Rhinolophus ferrumequinum: one gene and its partner. The protein of the gene in region 2 purifies or fractionates together with the protein of the main gene of each other region. This does not show direct contact. Links are inferred from orthologs where the notes say so. Each region holds a gene or a part of one and is shown on either strand. Other genes may lie near its edges.

Region 1 (7,115 bases), on a different chromosome or scaffold from region 2:
GCCAAGTTAACAGGTACAGCAAAAGCTGAAAGAGCAATACTGAAAAAACAACACTAAGTGATCTTTATTGGAAGATGGAACTTTGCAGGTATATAGCTACAAAAAACCCCTGAGAAATGAGGTAACCTATCTTTATGGAAGTCCTCCTACAACATATTTTGCCAGTAGGAACCCACTGAATAAGGATGCAATCCAGAAAATGGGCTCAGTAGCTTGGTGGGACATCTATCTCCTCCAAGGCAAGGTGGGCTACAACTTTGCCAGGCCACTCAGCTTTAGGGGAAGGAGCATACTTACCAGACAGATGTGCCTGTTAACAGGGGGGCCACAAGTACTTCCATTCAGAAATTGCACTCCTGATTTTGATCCAGAAGTACAAGTATATACTTATACTTTCAGATAAGTATATAAGCTCCTCTAAAGATAAATGATGCATTTTATAGAAAATCAGAAACACTTTCTATTTTGCTTGTCACAATAAAAAGAAAATTCTCAATTACCCTATAATGGAGAATTGGGAAAAGCACACAATGGATAACCCAAACTAGCAGTCAGTACAAAAACTCCCATGTGTGGCTTGGAAATAAACTATAATTTTAAACATCTTTAAGCTAAAAATTGTTTTCATTTTCTTTGAGATAAACCTTGAGTCTAAGTATAAAGCAGCAAATGCAAGCTGACAGCAATATGGCAATTTAAAACACACTGTAAACAGTTAATGATAATAAATAATTGGTAATACTAGTTTCAAGCTATTAGTTAATCAAACCCAGTTTGAAAGCTAATCTTGCTTCTTAACCAAGCTGTGTTATTTAGCCTTTCTGAGCCCCAGTTTCCTATCTGTAAAATATGGTTAATAATAGTTCCTACACCAGAGGATACAAGTAAAGAGTCTCTGGCACATAGTAGGCACTCAGTAAATTTTGATTATTCTTTCCTGTTAAAAAAATGTCAAACTAAAGATCATTTCACAAGTATTCTAGAATTTTCTAAGCGCACTCTTTGGATTTAGTTCTCCATACAACTTAAGTTTAACAAGGGCACATCAGTTAATTTATTTCATCTCTTTCCCTATTAGATAAAAATTAAATCTATTTTGTTTCAACCATTCAATTTGCTTTACTGCAGGACCCCAAACCTTCCCAAGGGAAGGAAGGAGATTAGCGGCTATTTCTAAAGTGGTAAAAATAAAAATGGGGAGAAAAAACCAGATTCCTATATTATTGTATTAGAAGAGTATGATTTCCTATGATAGTATGACATTGAGACATAATGCTTAAAAATACTTTTAAAAACTTTGTATAAGTCCAATTAAACACATAATGTGAAGTAAAATTATACACCTTATTTCAAATTATGAGATTTCTAAGAAGTGATCTCAAATCTACACATGCTTTCATCTCAAAAGAAGTCAACTGAACATACAAAGCCCGTACCTTCCAATTCACTGTTAAGTTTCCCAAGCATCCAAAGATGTACAGGGTATAGTTCTGACAGTCATGTACAAAGAGCACACTAACAAACTTGTATTTTAAGAGGCAAATAAACCTCAGAAAAATATACTCGACGTATTCAAAACCCTTTAAATGCCTCTAAAAGGAAACAATTTTCCTCCAGTTTTAAGTCATTTTGGCAGCCATATTAGGATAACCTGTGGGCCATCGACTCCCAATTACCACTTCTCAATTCAAACTGAAAATCATGTCCCTGAAGTCTTCAGTTACACAACGATGAGTCTTGTTTGTTTTTCATGCAATTGCAGTTCTGGCTTGAGGTGAGTCCTATTAAAATTTGAAATGGGTTCGTAATAATTCAGATACAGAGCAACCACAATCATAATAAACTGAAATAGTTTGCTACTAATGTAACAAGACTATAGATTAATGTAACAAGACAGGTTTTCAACTTGAGAAGAAACAACTTGAAAATAGTGTTACCTGACGTGAACATGCCACGGAGGGAAGGAGCAATCCCTAAAAAGAGTTACGTCTTTAAAAATGTGAAACGCTTATTTCCAAACAACTTGGTCTTTGAACCTGGAGGGCTGTTTCCAAATATGCGAAGCATAGGCGCTAGGGCAGATTGACACGGATTTAAAGCGCTCTGCAAACTTTTCCCCACCTGTTAACTGAACCAAATTATGGATATACATTTAAGCAGTCAATAAAGCTCGCATAAAACGATTCCAAACTTGAAAGTCGTTTCCACAGTTAAACTGCACAGAAGATTCTACAACAAAAAGACAACACTGGGGAACACAAATCTATCTTCTTACGGCAAAGAAGCATTTTCTCGGCCGAGTGTAGTTGCCAGAACCACGCACCAGGGTTGCCAACCTGCAACAGGATCGGCAAGATGTAACAGTTTTGTTTGTTTGTTTGTTTTTCAAGTAAAGCACAGGGAAATGTTCTCCCAAGAGTGAAACAGCTAAGAACTTTCTTAGCTCCGAGGAAAGTTTCATGCCTGCTTTCCAGATGGGTGGCCTAGGGAGGCAGATCGGATTAATCAGTGCCTTTTCTCAAGGTCACTCTAGTGCAAAAGAACAGCCCCGTGCGGGCTCCCGATCCCAGGTCTCCGACCCCTCCACATTCTCAGGCAACAGCCCAGACGTGCCTGGCTCCACTCGTGCTCGCAAGTGCCACCAGGCACTCGGAGAAAAAAACGTTTCGAACGCTCTCGGTGAAGACTGGGGTACCCGTGGCCCGCCCACCACCGAGGCGGTAGCCGCCCCCTCCGTCCACGGACGGAGAGGGACACTGGCCCCAAGAACCAGGGCCGTGGCCGAGGGCCGTGGGGGAGGCGAGGGTCCCGCGGAGCAGGGATTCACCTACCATCGCTCTCCGCCCTGACAAGCAGGGACATGCCCTTCAGCCGCTCCACGTAACCGGACGACACATGCCCGGTGCCACGGTCGTCCCACTGCCGGTCCTCGTTAAGCGTGTAAACCTTCACCCGCCGCCGGGTGTCGGTCATCGTGCCGCCCAGGAGCCGGGGCAAAGGCCCCGCCGGAGTCGCCCAGGAAGGGGGTCCGGGGGAGGCGGGAGCCGAGGCGGGAGGACGCCCGCAAGCGCAGGGGTCCCCGGCTTCACTGCCGTCGCTGGCCGCCGCGGGGCCGCGCTGCCGCCCGCATGGCCCGCTGCCGGGCCCGAGCTCTGGACCCCCGCCTTTCCTCGCCTCTGGTGCCTCGGCGCTATTGTCCAGGCCCGGCGAGCCCGGCCGCCCCGAGTGGGGCGCGCAGCGCTTAGCAGCCTCTCGTCCCGCCGCGGTAGGTACTCGGGGCGCCGGTCACTGCCCTGCTCCCGCCTCCGCCATGATCTCCGCGAAGCCGCTTCCCGCGCCGCCGCCGCCTCCTCAGGCCGCCGCCGCCATGTTTTCCTTCCTTATACCTGGCCCTGCCACCGTAGCCGGTGGCTCCACTCCGCTTCCCTGCTTCAAATGTCCGACGCCGACGGGCGCCTGCTCCTGCCGCAGCTGCTACCACTGCGCGGGAGACTCCAAGAGCCCCCAGGCGCCGAGCGCTCGTGGCTGCGGGCAGTCCCTTTCCTTTGCCGCTGCCGCCGCCTCTTCCGTCTTCCTCACAGAGCCAAAGCCGCCGCCATCTTGGTTCGCCCCTCAATAGCGGCGCGCGGGGCCACCCAGGCAGCAGCTGCAGGGGCGGCCCGTTGGTCCCACCATTTAAAGAGACAGGAGCGAGGCCGGGAGCCTCAATGCATCGAAAGCCTCAGACGGAGGCGGTTGGCGGGCGCCGAGTTGCCAAGGTGGCGGGAGCGCCGGGTGCGAAGGAGGCGGAACGCTGGTCGCACCGGTGACGGCCCGGGGCTCCCTCGCGCTCCCTGCACGCACTGTCGTGCGGGCGCTGGGCGGTGTGTGCGTCCGTCGCACCCTGTGTTCGTCATCAGCTCAGCTTGGGGATTCGGAAGGGGCGTGGAGCCGGCCTGTGGCCGCCTGTGCCGGCCTGCTCCTTACCCGCCGCGCGCTTAGTGTCTTGGGCTCTGAGTCTGCCCGCCGACTCCCCGCGTGGCTCGCTGTGCAGCCCCCGGGCCACTTCGGCCTGGGGCCCTCCAGCTGCGCTCCCGACACCCGCTTCCCGACTGTGCTTTCCGGGCCGCCTTTGGGGCTGGACTGGGGCATCCACAGCGCGCAGTTCTGGGGGCGCTGGAGTCTCGCTGACTTCAGCCATTTCTCCTTTGGGAATACATTGAAAAGCTTCCGGCAAGGGCCACAGGTTTTGGGAACGAGATCAGCCACAGGTCTTGGGAGCTGCTTTGGGCTCGTACTGGTGTAGCGAGCGAGTCTAGAAACGTGGGACACTTTGCATTTTCTGGGCCTGGGACCAAACCTAGGAAGTGCCAAGTCTAAAACCAACCACCTTACAATCCAGCTGCTACCTCCATTTCTTTATCCTTTTTCAGAAGTTATCTTCCAGCTCTCCATGTTACAAAAAGAACTTGAGGGGCTTACAAAAAACATACGATACTGTAAAATCACGATGAATAATTCTCGACATTACATGTTAAGCACTGCTAATCTTCAAAAATCACGTTCTCATTCCTCTCATGCAGATAATAGCCACCATTTTGGGGGCTTTTTCCATTTGCCAGACTATTTAGGTCATTGCTGTCCACTAGAAATAAAATTTGAGCAATATATGTAATTTTAAATTTTACAGTAGCCACTTTTTTAAAAAAAGTAAGAAATTTCTGAAATGTAATAACATTTTACTGAATGCAATCTCTTCAATATAATAAAATAGTAAATATTTTACATTCTTTTTCTTCGTACTAAGTTCCCTTCGTCCTAAGTTCAAAATGGGGTATGTGTTTTACCCTTAGTGTAAATTTCTATTTGGATACTAAATTTTCGTTGGAAATACCTGATGTGTAATGAGATTTCATTAAAATTTACTATTGAACAAGTAGATTCACATACTCAAATTATTTCAAACATACTTAAAATGTTTTCAAAAATGAATCAAGTATCAGGGTTTTTTTCCATTTAATTAACATTAAATAAAGTATAAAATTCAGTTCCTGTAGCCACATTTCAAGCACTCTGCAGCCATGTGTGGCTGGTGGCTACTGTTATGGCATGTTCAGGTGCTTAACGTTACCAGGAATTTCATATTCAAACTAGCCACGTAGTTGGAGTTATACCCATCTATTCTGAAAGAGGCCTGGATGGCATGACCAGGGCTGAGTGGTTTTCCAGGATGTGGGATTTCAGTTTTAAAATCAGAAGTTGGGACCTTCCTCCCCTACCACGTCAAATACAAAGAAGTGCTTGCAAAGAGCAGCCTGAGACGTTCATCATTTATAAGCAAAATTAGAAATTGTAAAAAAAAAAAAAAAAAAAGCAATTTTTTTCTAAAAAGTAAAATGTAATAATTTCAAGCATGAGGAGGTAGCAACAATTTTGTCCATTTTTGACACAGTAAGACATCATTAAATTTATTCACGTTACTTTATTTGATCCCCAAACCAAAAACGAAATGATTTGTGGAAAGATCATGTTTCCTTATAATATACTTTTAAGGTAAATTAAATAGGAATTATTTATTACATGAAAAAAATTTAAAATGATATGTAACAAGTAATATAGACAATTATATTTAAATGAACTGTTTAATATAATCTTAAATAACAGTTGAGTTGTATTAGTCAGGGTTCTACCAGAGAAACAACCAGCAGGATACATCTACCCAGATGTCATGGAATTGTTTATGTTATAGTGGGGTATGGTGAGGCAAATCAGAAATACACAGGGCAGGTCAGCAGCAGGATAGAAACTCTTGGGCAGGAGCTGACACTACAGTCCACAGACAGAATTTCTTCCTCAGGGAAACCTCAGTTTTGGTCTGAAGGTCTTTCCACTAAATAGATGAGGCCCGCCCAGATCACCTAGGATAATCTTCACTTAATGTCAAAGATGTGAATCACATCTACAAAATACCCTCACTGCAACACCTAGATTACTGTTTGAGTAACTGGATACTATTGATTGCCTAGCCAAATTGACACAAAACTATCACAGTGGCAAATAAATAGTTTAAAACCACTTAATCCTATACCATGCACAAATAGTGATACAATTTAAGAAAATTCCTAATGGAGTTCAATAACGGGGGGGGGGGGGGGGGGGGGGGGGGGGGGTTGCAAAACACAAAAGGTTGAGATACACTGTCAGTGGTCAAGTGTGGGTGTTGTATTTTGAGTCTAGCTCCTCTTAGTAGCTGTGTGACATTTGCAAGTTTCTTAACCTTTCCATAAGATAGGAATAATAATAACTTCGAAGGTTGTTGTAAGGATTAAATAAGATCCTGATTCCTCCTGCGCTCTAAACATAAAGCTTTTCCTCTGAACCCTTCATGCAGAACATAAACTTGTAACACACGCAGTGGAGCCAATTCATTATGCAATATTTATACCTACTCTATGTTACTTACCTTTGTCCATGTTGCATTTATCCTTTTATAGTGTTGCCTGCTTTTATAGTGTTGCTAAAAACCCTGGAAAGGACAGGGACAATGCTGTCCCTGGACTCCTGAATGCCCGTCCATACAGATGACCAACATATCGGACGTGAAGATAATGGTATCTGTGTGAGGGGAAGGGCATGGCACCAACCGTTAGAAGAGCCGAGCCCTTATAAGAGTTCAGCCACTAAACTGGTGACCTCGTATAAAACACTTAACCCCTTTGGGCCTCAGTTTTCTAATCCCAATGAGATGATCTTTAACAACACTTCTGGCTTTCACATTCTGTAAGTGTGCAGCAATGAATGTAAGAATAATAGAATCATTAAATTCTCTCCATAAAGACAGATGCCAATATGATCACACCTTAGCATTTTCATGACATTTATAAGCATTTTATTACATAGCACCATGCTATTTTTAAGACACATTTTAAATATTTGCTTAACAGTATCCAAAGCATTTCGTACAAGTTGCCCTACTTACGGCTTCCGGCCACTATTGTGCAGTGTGTTACCACATATTATGGCAAGGATATCTATTTGTTTAAAAGCCCCTGGGGTAGATTTCAATTATTGCGCTGAAGAGTAACTGTTTTCCTGAAAATTATAAAAACATTCTACATTCTAAGAAATGGCTATTA
Region 2 (7,064 bases):
CTGTGCCAAACAAGTGACCCATCCTTTTCCATTTTATCCCCCAGGTACTGAAAGCATACATATGGCAACAATCCAAAGCATTTCTAATCTCCAGCATCTATTCTTTAGTCTCCTTTGAATGTTCCCACAAATCTGAAGAAAATACAATTCCTATTTACCCTCAATATTAAAGAACCATAATAAAATCATAAAGCTCTCCACGTCCAACAAGAAAACTGAGCGATAAACATGGGCCATTATTTTCTGGCCTCCATTTTCATTCCCTTTGGGTCAAACACCCTAAAGCCTTTACCTGTCTTTCCGGCTGCTTCGGCCAGCCTGGTCATTGCTGTCCTCCTCAGCATCCTTCTGCTCGTCCCTGCTCTCTTCCCAGTCCTTATAGGAGGAGATTCGGGACTTCTTCTTGTCCTCCCCATCATCCTTCTCCTCTCGCTCCCTCCGTTTCAGGGAAGCCAACAAGTCCAGTCCCAGCAATGAAGGGCGGGGAGCAGGGGCCTTGAACACATGCTGCTCACTGGCTGCACTTTTGGTCTTGCAAATAAGACCGCCAACCTGAGTGTCCAGATCAGTGCCTTCCAGTCTATGGATCGAGGTCTCCTCACTGGTGTCCTCCATGACAGGTTCCGGGACTTCTCAGAAGGAAGACAAACCATTTTGTATTGGACATAAGAGGGAGAGGGCTTGGTTTTGCTGTATCCCAAGATAACTATAGTTGTAGGTATCTTTAGGGGGTTAAACTCCCCCTTAAAACCAGGATTTCTTTAGCACCTCTTGCTAAGACCTTTCCATCAAGTCACTGATAATCTCAAAAGACCCTCCTACTCCCACTGCAACACATCAGAGATACACACACACACACACACACACGCCGCATCCACCCCCAAACACCAGGACCCAAGCAAGTATCATCCTCTGGTCTCACTGTGGCACACTTACTAAAACATGATGGCATCTATAAAGGGAGCATAAGGGAAATACCATTAGATTTGAAGTCAGAAACCTCAATTGGAATCCAGGCTCTTGACATTTTCTACCTGTATGACTGTAAGCAAATAACTTAATCTTTGATTGGGCATAATTTCTCTATCTGTAAAACGGAAATACTTTCTGTTTTACATGTAATCCATGGAGTTATTGTGAGAATCAAACAAGAAAGTGTATGTGAAACTTCTTTGAAAATATAAAGAGTTACATAAATGAAATTGTTACATTGTATTATTTGCTGTGCTCCTATATATTGAATTGGGTCCCTCACCATTTTTTTACACAAGTTCTTCTACTTCTCACTCCCTTTAACTACAGACACAGCAGAGATATTGGGGTATAAGGGTACCTACCACCCATGTGATCCATACTTTAGTGGTTTTGTGGGGTATGGGGGGGACCAGTTATGTTTTGTAGAAAAGAATTACCTCACAGCAATCGAAATCTGTTTAACAACAATCCATGTTCACCAAAAATACTGATGAGAAGCACTAGGTTAAAAAATGGATTTCCTAGCACTTATAACAAATTCCTCTTTACTTCCTATTTCACAGCATCCACTTATAAAGATACACCAATTCTGGGTGCTTGGATAATTCCCCTCATTCCAACAAGTCAGTGAAGCAAAGGAACTGTCAAGAGGTAGTATACCACCAGAATCTAGAATGTTCTGCCCAGCTCTAATTAACATGCACAGCTCTATAGAGGAATATTGCCAAACAGACTGGACATATATTATGGACAAAGGAACAAGAGCTGCATTTTGAAAAATGCTGTTAGGCAGATAGAAGGGAAAACTGCATATTGGTGACATCTGTACACATTTGAGAAAATCTAAACAGAAAAAGGGGACAGGTTGCTGACAGTCCTGAAGTTGAAAAGGCTCTGCTCAGATGTAGTCTGAACTAGAATGTATACCCCTAGAATGCCATTCTATGCAGGAGAGAGAACCTTGTCAGTCTTGTTGATGCCCTACTCAGTGCCTGGCAAAATAAACATTGAATAACGTTTGAATAAATGGATGAATGAATTTAAACTGATTAAAGGGAAGTGAAACATTTCTAGAGACAGCAAGGGAAGATTCCAGCAGCACAGGTCAAGGAGTCTGACAGCAGGATTTAACTACATAGCTGCTGAGAACAAATAAGGAGTTAAGGAGTTGGATTGTGGAGCAGAATTAATGGCAAAGAAGCTACAAAGGGTTACGAGAAAAACAATGAAGCAAGTAACTGGATTTACTCCTTCAACAAATATTGAGTACCTACTCGTCTGTGAGCCAATCGCTGTTATGGGCAACAGGGATTGAACAGAGAACAAAACAGACAAAAATCCGCACCCTTTGGAGTTAACATTCTAGTAGAGGAGATCACCTGATAGATACCGCCGTGACAGAGAAGAGGAAGACACGAGGAACCCTACTGGGCTCGGCGTGCGTCCGCGAGTGGCCTAACGCGGAGGCCTAAGGAAGGGTACACGGTTGACCCCCGAGTAGCATCCCTGGACCTCAGAGAGGCCGCGCCGGGCAGCAGGATCTGACCTGAACAAAGAGAAAAGCCAGGCCAGGCCAGACCTGCGCAGGATCCCTAGGATGAGTAAGGCAAGTTGGGTGGCAGGAACCAGACTTTCCAAACCCGGGCCCGAACCTGAGCGAGGGACCGATATCCGCTGCCTGGAGCCGCCATGATTGGCGAACGGCAGGTCAGGAAGGGAAAAGGACACTCACCTCACCAAGCCCGACTCTCGGGACCTCCTGTCCCAGACGCTGGGGCGCCGGCGCCGCTAGCTCTTCCTCAGCTCTCCTTAGAGAGCCAAAATCCGCACCTTGAAAGCCGCCATTACTGTCCCATAATACCTTGTGCGGCTCCTTCTATCCTTCCAAAGAGAGACCATAGAGAGCAACCCGGAAAATGCTGGTTCCTGGCTCCAAGTATGGGACATAACGCGACCAGTTCCTCAAGGCTAGAGTGCCTTACTCTGGGACTCTGATCAGAGACACTTCCGAGTCTCGTTGCGACCAATCACACTTAGTCTGAGAGGCCTGGCCCCGCCTCTACTCTGAACGGGTGAAAGGGAAAAGGAGGAGGTCTGTCATCTTTAATAAGGGCGGAAATGACCTAAGGCTTCCGGTTAGAGCTCGATACAGGGGACAGTGACTACAACAACTTCTGCTTTATTGGGCTGTTGAGCGGGGACGGCGGCGCGTGTCTCTACTGCGCCTGTGCGTTTTCCTTTTCCGTTTCCGTCTCCTTAAGTGGGCCGCCAGGGTTGCTGGACAGCGGTCTCTCGGTTACTTTGGATTCGCGTCGCTGTGGTGTTTCCGGCGGAAGAAAGGAGCCGCCAGTGTCCCGACTCTGGAAAAGGGGACGGGTTGCTGACAGTCCTGAAGTTGAAGAGAGAGGCGACTTGCACAAAGAAAGTAAGTATCGCCTTCCCTAGTAGTTTTGGGCCAGGAGGACCCCAACCACAGACATTAAAAATTTACCAGTGACCCTTGAACAACGACGGGTTTGAACGGCGCTGTTTGAACCCGCGTTTTTCAAGGGTCAACTGTATTTTTGATGAGTTGTTGGGAATCCGCGTACAGTGGCGGGCCGACTTAAGTTATGCGCGATTTTTCGACTCCGCAGGTCATAGGTGCCTTACTCCCGCGTTTGTTACGGGTCAACGAGGTCGAATGTTTTGGAAAAATAAAGACACATTCCGATGTAAATAAAAGTCACCCATCTGTTCACACGCAGAGATAGCCACTGATGGTGTCTGGGGACATTCATTCCCAGTTATTTTTCTTTGTAAAAATGTACATTTGCATTATAATTAGGTTTTGCACCTAAACTATAGAGTGTGGGATCACACTGTGTTATAACTTTTTTCTTTATCTTGAGAACTATTCATTATCTGAAATGTACACGTCTGACATAGTATGTAGTGGTTGTACATTGTAGGACGGTACTATCTTTTATTTCACCAATGCCCTATTAAGTAGCCATTTAAATTGATTTCCAGTTTTTCACCATTTTAAATGTGAGGAATATCCTTTGTATGTAAATATTTGTGCATACGTCTATTTACTGAGAACTAACTCTCAGAACTGGAAATTTTGGCTAAAGAGTATTTCAGCTTTCTTACAAGAAAAGGTTTGTTTATCTACATTCCAGCAGGGACCGTGAATGCCTGCCCATCATTCACTCTATTGCCATTATTGTTTAATCTTTGCCAATTTAATGGAGTTTAAAAATACATCTTTTAATTTGCTGTTCTTTCCTTACTAGTAAAGCTTAACTTGCCAAATATGTTTATTGTCCGTTTGTACCTCTTTTATGACTTCTCTTTTAGTATCCTTTGCTGTAGACATTCTATTAAGTGTGGTCTCAGTTTCCCTCCTCCTTCCAACATTTATCCAGTCCCTCTCCATCCGTTGACAGCTTTGCCCTCCCCTCATGTCTTCCTCTTAGTAATAAACAGGAGTTGCTGTTTGTTTGAATTCTAGTCGTGAGACAGATCCATATTCTCTTTAACTTTCATCAGTAATTTGTTCTGCCACTCACATTTGATGAGTCCTCGTAATCAGCTTCCCTATTTAAAGTATCACCTATTACTGGAACGGTTTCATTTCCTATATGAATTTTTATCAATTCACATCTTAAAATGTGACTTGTCACCAAAAAAAAAAAAGAGAGAGAGAGAAAAAATCCTCCCTTTTCAAAGCATTAGCCAACTTTGGAACTGAATTTGAAATATTAAGTAACTTAATGGGTTTCTTGTGGATGGACTCAAAAACAAAGTTTGATCAAAAAGTTTCTCAACTTTCAAATAGCACATTGGGGCGGCAGGTTAGCTTAGTTGGTTAGAGCATGGTGCTCTTAACAACAAGGTTGCCAGTTCGATCCCCACATGGGCAACTGTGAGCTACGCCCTCCACAACTAGATTGAAACAACTACTTTTCTCTGAGCGGATGGGTCCTGGAAAAACACACTTAAAGTAAATAAAAGTTAAAAATAAGTAAAATAGGAACTAATTGTAGTAGAAGGAATGCTAGACTAGAAATTTGGTGACCTGGATTGTATTTCTTGTTCTTGTAGCTAGAAGAGTAACTATATGCAAACTAGTCTGTAAAATGAGGGGCTGCATACAGAATGGATTAGGCCCATTCTAACTCAGTATTTTATGATTTGTGTGTGTGTGTGTGTGGTTTTCCACGCTCTTAATTGATCTGTTTGCCATGTGATGGGGTGCACCTAGTAAGATGCACCAAGAATCGTTAAGCCAGGACTCATGATAATACAAATGTTCATCAATAAAGGACTGTGTAAAAAGTATGCATGAAATACATGCATGAAATAGTATGCCGCTGTGACAAAGAATGTGTACATTTTCTGTGTGTGGATATGGGACAGTCTTCGTATGTTAGGTTTAAAAGAGTGCAAAGTGCAGAAGAGTGGGTAAAGACATCATATGTGTGCTGGACATCTGTCATTTGCCCCTCTAGAGCCACTCTTCCTCCTCCTCTAGACAGCTCTGGGACCAGAAGGCTTGTCGAGCTCTGCAGCTCCCTAATCCTTTGTTTCCAGGTGGAGTCAGCCAGTGGAGAGCAGAGGGAGGGAGGGAGGAAAGTGGCTGCACCCCTTACTGCATGCAGGCTGACCTCCTATACAGCGGCCTTCTCCACTCAGCAGTCTCCACCACACAGTTTTGGTGACTACTCCCTCCCATTCTCCTTCAGGCCTAGGGGTGGGAAGAGTGCCCCACTGTTACTAGCCCCAGACTATAGCACTGAACCCTGTAGTTTTCCTATACCCTGCCTTAATAAAAATCCCTTCAAATAACCAAATGTGAGGATTTCATCTCTTTCCTACTGGAACATTGACTGATAGAAAAGGCTATTTGGGGGGTAAAAGAAGGAGAAAACATAGGAATGCATATTTATATTTTCTAGGGAATGCATCACAAAATTCTGGGAGGTACATAAGAAACTAATGAAAGTAGTTACCTGGTGTGTGGGGAGAAATGGGGCCGTGGGAACTAGGCCAGTCAGGTAAGTTAGAGGGGTGGAGGGTAAGACAGGGACAGGGGGTTTTCACAGTATATCTTTCTATATTGTTGCTTTTTAAACGAGTGGACTTATTTGTCACCTCTTTGTGCATTTAGTGTGTTCCTTTTACTTTTTTAATACTGTCTTATAGGAACCTCTTTTTTCCTCTGGGGAAAACAAACATTATCACCTACTTCAAAAATTAACATTTTTTAAAAATTAGGACTCATGTACTTAATCTGCCTTTAAACATTGCAACTTTATTTCAGGACTGACAGTGAGGATTAATATTTGGATGATTTCAAGATGAGCTTCCTGTTGCCCAAGCTGACCAGCAAAAAAGAAGTTGACCAGGTGATAAAAAGCACTGCAGAGAAAGTGTTGGTTCTCAGGTTTGGGAGAGACGAGGATGCTGTCTGTCTGCAGCTAGATGATATCGTAAGTGAATTTTTTAAACAAATGTTTTTTATTAAAAATCTCTGCATCCTCACTTCAACATCTGCAAAGTGCATGAAAGGGCGCAGGCAGGGCGTGGGAATACAGCTGATCATGTGTTAGCACGCCTTCACTAAGTGCCGAATCCCTAAATCTGTGATTGTGCTGAGTCTGTCCTGGATGTCCATCTCCACTAGCAACTGTGAGAGCTCCACTTCACCAACAAGGCAATAGAAGACCGGAAATGTTACTAACAAGCGGCTATGAACATTATCTTATTCAGTGCTCACACAGCGGGATCACGACTATTCCTATTCCCAAGGGGGAGATGAATGCCAGTGAGGTCACGTGACCTCCCGCAGGCACAGACCCACTGAATCGTAGAGCTCGAATTGAACTTTGTTTTCTCTGCCTGCAGATAGGCTTTACTCGTGTGCTGCTCCAGTGTGTGCCTGACGATAATCTCTGACCTCACAACTCATCTTCACACTGATGAGTAGGGAGGGCCAGATGGGACAGAGTAGGTTGATTCTTGTCTCTGTTTATTATGGAGAGAGACTTACCCCAGGACTAAGGCCTCCTCCACCGTTTCTGTTGCTGATACCCACAATGTGG

Evidence for each region. Proteins that work in one complex are often made in the same cells at the same time.
Region 1: the proteins of DHX38 (region 2) and PPP4R3A purify together in Homo sapiens (co-immunoprecipitation; 3 studies listed by BioGRID and IntAct, with this or other methods). This does not show direct contact. The link is inferred for Rhinolophus ferrumequinum from reciprocal best matches to the Homo sapiens genes DHX38 and PPP4R3A.

What each region holds. Positions count from the first base shown.
Region 1 is NC_046289.1:10,856,083-10,863,197, reverse strand, and holds the start of PPP4R3A (serine/threonine-protein phosphatase 4 regulatory subunit 3A), read right to left. Parts: upstream 3,022-7,115; 5' UTR 2,974-3,021; coding exon 2,832-2,973; intron 1-2,831. UniProt on the Homo sapiens protein: Regulatory subunit of serine/threonine-protein phosphatase 4. May regulate the activity of PPP4C at centrosomal microtubule organizing centers.
Region 2 is NC_046298.1:20,680,508-20,687,571, forward strand, and holds the start of DHX38 (pre-mRNA-splicing factor ATP-dependent RNA helicase PRP16), read right to left. Parts: upstream 3,002-7,064; 5' UTR 2,708-3,001; intron 630-2,707; 5' UTR 616-629; coding exon 293-615; intron 1-292. Other genes in the region: TXNL4B (thioredoxin-like protein 4B), read left to right, coding at 6,321-6,452. UniProt on the Homo sapiens protein: Probable ATP-binding RNA helicase. Involved in pre-mRNA splicing as component of the spliceosome.